Macaca fascicularis: one gene and its partner. Each later gene encodes a partner of the first gene's protein in a complex. Links are inferred from orthologs where the notes say so. Each region holds a gene or a part of one and is shown on either strand. Other genes may lie near its edges. The genes, in order: THOC3 and THOC6.

Evidence for each region.
Region 2: THOC3 (region 1) and THOC6 share a complex: the UniProt entries of both Homo sapiens proteins name them as parts of the transcription/export (TREX) complex. The link is inferred for Macaca fascicularis from reciprocal best matches to the Homo sapiens genes THOC3 and THOC6.

What each region holds. Positions count from the first base shown.
Region 1 is NC_088380.1:182,840,368-182,843,668, reverse strand, and holds part of THOC3 (THO complex subunit 3), read left to right. Parts: coding exon 1-128; intron 129-3,301. UniProt on the Homo sapiens protein: Component of the THO subcomplex of the TREX complex which is thought to couple mRNA transcription, processing and nuclear export, and which specifically associates with spliced mRNA and not with unspliced pre-mRNA.
Region 2 is NC_088394.1:3,820,166-3,824,723, reverse strand, and holds the start of THOC6 (THO complex subunit 6), read right to left. Parts: upstream 2,894-4,558; 5' UTR 2,610-2,893; coding exon 2,571-2,609; intron 1,006-2,570; exon of another isoform or gene 736-1,005; intron 588-735; coding exon 472-587; intron 371-471; coding exon 306-370; intron 232-305; coding exon 128-231; intron 44-127; coding exon 6-43; intron 1-5. Other genes in the region: HCFC1R1 (host cell factor C1 regulator 1), read left to right, coding at 2,995-3,089, 3,406-3,462, 3,575-3,703, 3,938-4,073. UniProt on the Homo sapiens protein: Component of the THO subcomplex of the TREX complex which is thought to couple mRNA transcription, processing and nuclear export, and which specifically associates with spliced mRNA and not with unspliced pre-mRNA.

The DNA of each region.
Region 1 (3,301 bases):
ATTGATGCCAAGACACACCGTTCCAAAGCAGAAGAGCAGTTCAAGTTCGAGGTCAACGAAATCTCCTGGAACAATGACAACAACATGTTCTTCCTGACAAATGGCAATGGTTGTATCAACATCCTCAGGTGAGGGGGTCTAGCTTAGGGGACTGTCATATCTTTGTGCTGGGTGCTGTGCCAGATACGGAGATGAATTAGATGTGAGCCTATCCTGAAGGAGCTTAAAACACAAATAGAATCCTAACCTGTTTTAAGTACATTTGAGCTGTATATTTTATATACTTTATATTTTACTGAGTCCTTACAGAAATTCTAGGAGTTGATGGTTTGCTTCTCATTTGACAGATGAGGATCTGAGGGTGAGAGGTTACATCAGTAGTCAGCTAGTGTTTGCTGGAACTGGATGCACCTTGAATTATGACTAATTCATACCCTCTTTTTTTTGAGGCGGAGTTTTGCTCTTGTTGCCCAGGCTGGAGTGCAATGGCGCGATCTCGGCTCACTGCAACTTTCGCCTCCTGGATTCAAGCTATTCTTCTGCCTTAGCCTCCCGAGTAGCTGGGATTAGAGGCGTGCCCCACCACACCTGGCTAATTTTGTATTTTTTGTAGTTTAGAGTTTCTCCATGTTGGTCAGGCTGGTCTCCAACTCCCAACCTCAGGTGATCCACCCACCTCGGCTCCCAAAGTGCTGGGATTACAGGCGTGAACCACCGCACCCAACTGGCTAATTCGTACTCTTAAAGTTTCAACTTAAATATCACTTTCCCTTCAGGGGAAGCTCTCCCGCTACCCCAAGGTTAGAGGTAGGTTAGAGGCTTACTTTATGTACTTTCTGTAGGAAGCACTTTCCTTCTGGTTGTAATTGCATGGTTATTTGCCCATGTCTCCTGTTAGACTGTGAATTCCATGATGGTGGGGATGGTGTTTGCCTTGTTTAGTGTTGAATCCCTAATGTCTAGTCCTGCACCTGCTCCACATAGAAGGATCTTAGTGAATGTTTGTTCTCTAAATGAATGAAATTGTGGAGCTGAAATTCAGATCTGTTTAATTCTAGCCTTCCACTATCCCAGGTGATCAATGTGAGGCCAAGTGAGATATGTTCCGTGGGGAGTTGAAGGAGGGAGCTTGTGAACTTTATCTTGAAAGATAAGCAGAATTTGAAGAATAAGCAAAAGGGAAACATATAAGTGAAAAAGCAGGCATGAGTGAGCATGACTTATTTGCAGAGTAGTTCGGTCAGGGTTGTTGGGGGCATGCTGGCAGATAAGGGAAATAAGAGAGGGCATGATAATGGGAAGATGAAGTCTGATTTGGGACCAGATTATAAAAGGCCTTTATTTTATGCCTAGTATCTTGGATTTTATTTTGTAGGCAATGGGGATTCTATAATTTTTTAAGAAAAACCTTTTTATTATAAAACACAGATATTGAAAACCACATAACACAAATGTGTAGCTTAACGAACTCTTATAGGCTTAACTCTTGTGCAGCCCTGCTCAAGTCGAGGAGTAGTTCTTTCCAGCCACCCTAGAAGTCCATCCAGGTGTTTTGTCCTAATTACAACTCCCTTCCACAAAAGCGAACACTATCCTGACTTTTATGGTGATTCTTCGTAGTTTTTCTACCACATGTACAGCCCCTAGATACCCTAGTTTTGCTCATTTAAAAAAAAAATTGATACGTCTTTTGTGTCTCTTAAATTACTCAAAAGAAACTTGCTAAAACATAGCTGCTGAAAAACCAGACTGGTAACCTGTGGAGATTCTCCCAGTTTGGCTTTTGCTGATTCCATGTGCTGTGTATATGTTGGACTGTTGTATAAAGAGATGCTGCTTCTTGTCTGCAATTTGGTTACCCAGTAGTGCAGTTCATCTAGGGAAGGCAGGATAAAATTTTGATTCTGTTTGTCAGATGATGATTTCGTTTCCTGCTGCCTCCAAAGATGACCAGTTAGGTTTGTTTTTTGTTTTTTTTTAAATCATTATGGGCTCGTGTTTTTAAACATAGTTGATGTGTTTCCATCTCTTGTAATTGTTACGCCTATTGAAGCTCAAATTATCCCATCTTTGGCCAATAAAAACGTCTTCAAGTTGGTTCTTAAGCCCTTTTTTGACATAATCCCAGTCATCTTCTGTTTTTTGCTCTCTGGTTTGATAAGATGTTTCAAGTTCATCTTGTACAATCTTGCCCCAGACCTTTAATCAGAAAATTCTCCAAGAAGCCTTAACATTCTGGCTGGGTGTCGTGGCTCACACCTGTAATCCCAGCACTTTGGCACTTTGGGAGGCCGAGGTGAGTGGATCACTTGAGGCCTGGCAATCATGGAGAAACCCCGTCTCTACTCAAAATACAAAAATTAGCTGGGCGTGGTGATGCAGGTCTGTAATCCCAGCTACTTGGAAGGCTGAGGCAGGAGAATCGCTTGAACCCGGGAGGTGGAGGTTGTAGTAAGCTTAGATTGTGCCACTGCACTCCAGCATCCTGGGCGACTGAGTGAGATTCCACCTCAAAAAAAAAAAAAAAAAGGAGGCCTTACATTCTTTCACTGAGAAATCATACTGAAGTTAGGAATGTTCATTACCGTTGGGTTGGCCTAGGAATTACGTGTGTGTGTGTGTGTGTATGTATATAAAGATAAAATACCTTGTGAACTCACATTGATAACTTCCAATTAAAATTGAGGACTCCGGGGATTTTATTAAACCTCATCTATATTACAAATATATTTCTTCCCTTCCAAATTGAGTATTCTGGTTCTCAAGGGCACAAGGGATCATAGAATTAGAATATCCGATGGTTACTTATTACCTGTATCCCGTGGTAAACATACAGATGTCTCTGAATAACAATATTACTGCCACTACCACCAATGTGATGACTTGAAACAAAAAATGTTTTTGCTTTTTGCATACACTCTTTGCATTCTTCCCCCATTAAAAAAAATAGTACTATATGTTGTAGGAGTGTGCAGCTGTTACATATTATACCCTCCCTTTAAACCATGTATAGTTTTTGCAAGAAACTCTATATTCAGTGTTCAGCACCAGTCCTTATAAGTCTTGAGTCATTTTTTTTATTGAAGCTCATTCTCTAGTTAAGATTCCTCGGGAAGCGTTCATGGGAACATTATTCCTGGAGTTTTTATTACAACTTATTTATGTACTTATAAATCTTATAGATTTTATAAAACATTATTTTGCTTATTGTTTGTATCGTTATATTTCAAATTCAGTTTTGCTGGATGTAAAAATCCTTGACTCATTTTCTTGCTTGTGTATCTTTCTTAAATATGGTACT
Region 2 (4,558 bases), on another chromosome or scaffold:
CTCACCTGTATGGAGGCTGCCGATGCCACAGCTCCTTACACCCCTTCAAAAGGGAAAATACCAGTTGACCTCAAAGGCTCTCTCTGGGTCCCGGCACCCCAGCCCTTTCCCGAGCTCAACTCCTTACCTTCTTGAGCATCTCCGCCCAAAGCCAGGCCTTCACCTCCCCATCCCCAGCACTAAGCAGATGTCGATCGGTGGAGACCATGCTATAGACAGGCCCATCATGGGCTAAAGAGAAATGCAGAACTGAGTTGACCAATTCCACCCAAAGTCCCGAAGCCAGACTCCACAGCTATACCCACCTTGGAAAGTCACCACCGGCTTCTTACTTTCCTCTTTGGCTTCGGAGCTCAAAGCAGCGGACAAGCTGCAGGGGACAGCGGAGGGGACCCAGGAGTCAGAAACAGGGACATCCGTCCCATGAGGGCCAAGTGCCAGGGCTAATGGGTGGACAGCGGCAGAGGGTACCTGAAGATGGCAATCTGCCCATAATTGTTGCCAGCCGCCAGAAACTTCCCACACGGTGAGACACTCTGGGAGAAGATGGTCATATGGAGCCGCTGCAAGGCCTGGAACACCTCTGTCTGCAGGGAAGAACTGGATGAGGCCTGCCTGGGATGTATGAAACCTCCCAGCCACAGACTCCTTCCTGCTTCCCCCAACACCTGCCAGGCTTCCCACTGTCCTGACTTCTCAGCCCTCTTTTGAGGCGGCCCGGCCCCAAGCCAGCACTTGCCCATGCAGTCCCATGGGCGGCTCCAAGAAGACACTGAAGAAGGGGCGAGTCGAGGTGATGCCTCAGGGACCTCTGAGCAAGCACCCAGCACTCTCCTACCAGCTTCCTCAACTGTCAAGTGGAGCTCACAGAAGATTCCATCACCATTAGATGAGCTAGTGTATAGACAAGAGCTTTCCATGGGGCTGTCACTCAGTGCTGAAGCCGGGTGTGGTGGCTCATGCCTGTCATCCACTGCTTGGGGAGGCCAGGAGTTCGAGAGCAGCCTGGTCAAAATAGTGAGACTCCGTCTCAACAAAAAATTTAAAAATGTGGGGCCGGGCGCAGTGGCTCACGCCTGTAATCCCAGCACTTTGGGAGGCCGAGGTGGGCGGATCACCTGAGGTCTGGAGTTCCAGACCAGCCTGACCAACATGGAGAAACCCATCTCTACTAAAAATACAAAATGAGGCCGGGCGCGGTGGCTCAAGCCTGTAATCCCAGCACTTTGGGAGGCCGAGGCGGGTGGATCACGAGGTCAGGAGATCGAGACTATCCTGGCTAACATGGTGAAACCCCGTCTCTACTAAAAATACAAAAAACTAGCCGGGCGTGGTGGCGGGCGCCTGTAGTCTCAGCTACTTGGGAGGCTGAGGCGGGAGAATGGCGTGAACCCGGGAGGCGGAGCTTGCAGTGAGCCGAGATCACGCCACTGCACTCCAGCCTGGGAGACACAGCGAGACTCCGTCTCAAAAAAAAAAAAAAATAAATAAAAAATAAAAAAAATAAAAAAAATAAAAAAAAATAAAAATACAAAATGAGCTGGGAGTGGTGGCGCATGCCTGTAATCTCAGCTACTTGGGAGACTGAGGCAGGAGAACTGCTTGAATCTGGGAGGCGGAGGCTGTGGTGAACCAAGATGGAGCCATTGCACTCCAGCCTGGGCAACAAGAGTGAAACTTCATCTCAAAAAAAAAAATGGCCGGGCGCGGTGGCTCAAGCCTGTAATCCCAGCACTTTGGGAGGCCGAGACGGGCGGATCACGAGGTCAGGAGATCGAGACCATCCTGGCTAACACGGTGAAACCCCGTCTCTACTAAAAATACAAGAAAATTAGCCGGGCGAGGTGGTGGGCGCCTGTAGTCCCAGCTACTCGGGAGGCTGAGGCAGGAGAATGGCGTGAACCCGGGGGAGTGGAGCTTGCAGTGAGCCGAGATCGCGCCACTGCACTCCAGCCTGGGGCACAGAGCAAGACTCTGTCTCAAAAAAAAAAAAAAAAAATGTGGCCAGGCATGGTGACTCACACCTGTAATCCCAGCACTTTGGGAGGCTGAGGCGGGAGGATCACCTGAGGTCAGGAGTTCGAGACCAGCCTGGTCAACACGGTGAAACCCTGTATCTACTAAAAACACAAAATTAGCTGGGCATGGTGGCACACGCCTGTAGTCCCAGCTACTCAGGAAACTGAGGCAGGAGAATCGCTTGAACCCAGGAGGCGGAAGTTGCAGTGAGCTGAGATCGTGCCACTACACTCTAGCCTAGTTGACAGAGTGAGACTCCGTCTCAAAAAAAAAAAAAGTGCTTTGCAGGAACTAGAAAATTAAAAAAAAAAATAGGGGTGGCTCTACTACCCCAACATAGAAAAACGTACTGATTTATAATCCCTACTCTCTGACTTGCGTTAAGCCCCTGAGGCACTTCTGGGTTACTCTCCCGCCCCCCGGTCAGCGTCTGAGTTCCACAAATAGCCCAGGCAAAATAGGACTCAAAGGGCACAATTCCCTGCCCGCCCCGTCCCAGCCATGAATGGACTACAAATCCCAGAAGGCAACGCGCCCCACGTCCGTCTCACCTGACCCAGCGGTACCGCGAGCGGCACAGCTCGCTCCATCTCCAGAACTACAAGTCCCAGAGTGCTTCGCGTGCGACGCAACTTCACGAGGCCTTACGTGCCTACAGCGGTTCCTCTCCGTGGCGCCCTACTGCCTTCGGCGCGAAGGGGGCTGCTGCGTACCGTCCTGAACCCCAGGAGCCGAGGTGAGCGCCGCGAAGACCCCCGACATTAAGAAGTGGTGTCCACCGCAGCCCCGCTAAGCCGGATACCCTCCCCCACCCCGAGGAGCAAGCCTGCCTTCCGCCACGCGCCGCCCTTCTTCGGCGCCCGCGCAGAACCTCGCCGCTGTGCCCGCCTAAAGCCACGCCCATCCTCGCTGGGCCACGCCCTCAGAGACTCCTCCCCTGTCGCCCAGATCCCACCCGCAGGACCCCAAAACCCAATGATCCTTCAGCAGCCCTTGGAGCGAGGCCCCCAGGGTGGGGCCCAGCGCCTCCCGCGGGCCGCCTTGGGGGTGACTCGGGGCCTGGACGCCAGGTGCGTGTGGGGGACCAGGGTGGGCCTGACCAAGGGCCGCAGGAGCTTTGGCTGGGTGCTCAGGGCTGGTCTGCAGGATGAACACGGGGTGGGGCGAATCGGTGGGGCTTAGGCGTGAGCTGAGATGGTATTGGGGCTGCAGTTCAGGGTCCAGACTTCCGAAGTACGCTGCTGGATGGCCCAGGAGAGGGGGGACCAGCACCAGCTGAGACAGTAATGGGCTTGGGGCTCCTGGCTGATGCTGCAGGCTCAGGCAGGCATATCCTTGGGAAGGGGCCAAGAGGGTGGGGTGCACCAGGCTCTCTTTTTTCCCCAGCTCCCCTCTCCGAGGAGCTGTGCCCATGAGCACCAAGCGGCGCCTGGAGGAGGAGCAGTGAGTTTGGGGGCAGGGAGGGACTCCCAACGAGAGCTCTGTCACCTCTGGTCCCCAACAGGCTGCCTCCTGTCTCAATATCCCAGCCTGCCTCTCTCCCATCTCTCCCCAGGGAGCCTCTGCGCAAGCATTTTCTGTCTGAGGAGAACATGGCCACCCACTTCTCTCAACTCAGCCTGCACAATGACCACCCCTACTGCAGCCCCCCCATGGCCTTCCCCCAAGCCCTGCCCCCACTCAGGTAGGCTCCTCCACTGGCCAGGCCTTCTGCAGAATCACAGGCGGTCCTCGCAGCTGACCTCAGGCCCTGCCTCATCGTGCCATTTTTAGCTCTAGCTGACCTCTGGGTTGTTTCTCATCTTCGCTCTTCGGAAAGTGCTGGGAACCCAGGAGTCCCTGGGGACCTGGACCTGGTGGGAGGTGCTCAGCTAGGCCAGCCTTAGCCCCATGCCCTGACAGTCATTTCTTCTTCTAGAAGCCCTTGCTCTGAGCTGCTTCTCTGGCGCTACCCTGGCAGCCTCATCCCCGAGGCCCTCCGTCTGCTGAGGCTGGGGGACACCCCCAGTCCCCCCTACCCTGCAACCCCAGCTGGAGACATAACGGAGCTCTGAGTGCTGGTGGACTGCCCCTCCCACCTTCCTTCTTCCCCACAACAGAAGAGACCAGCGACTCCTGCAAAGGGACAAGGTTCCTCCCTCTCCTGCAGACCAGGCATCTGGGCACCAAGACCTTCCCTCAACAGAGGACACTGAGCCCAACGGAGCTCTGGGATGGGAGGGGTGGGAGCATGGGAAGGGAGGCATCCCACCCCCAAGAAGAACTGAATAAAGATTGCTGAGCAAAGGAAGGCTTCAGTCTAGAACCTGGGGCTTTTGGGGATGGTGGAGAGGGCAGAGGTGCGGGATGCTGGGGTTTCTCCTCAAGATCTTCCCTGGAAAACTGTTAGGGCCAGCCAGGTCCTGGCCGGCTGAGTTCCAGGCATTGAGAATGTGTGAGTCAGAGCCTCACCCCCGCCCCCGCGGCTGGCTGACTCACTCCCTCCCTCCAGCTCAGGGGAGTCAGTCGGGGATCACTGCCTCTCCAAACCATTTAAAGT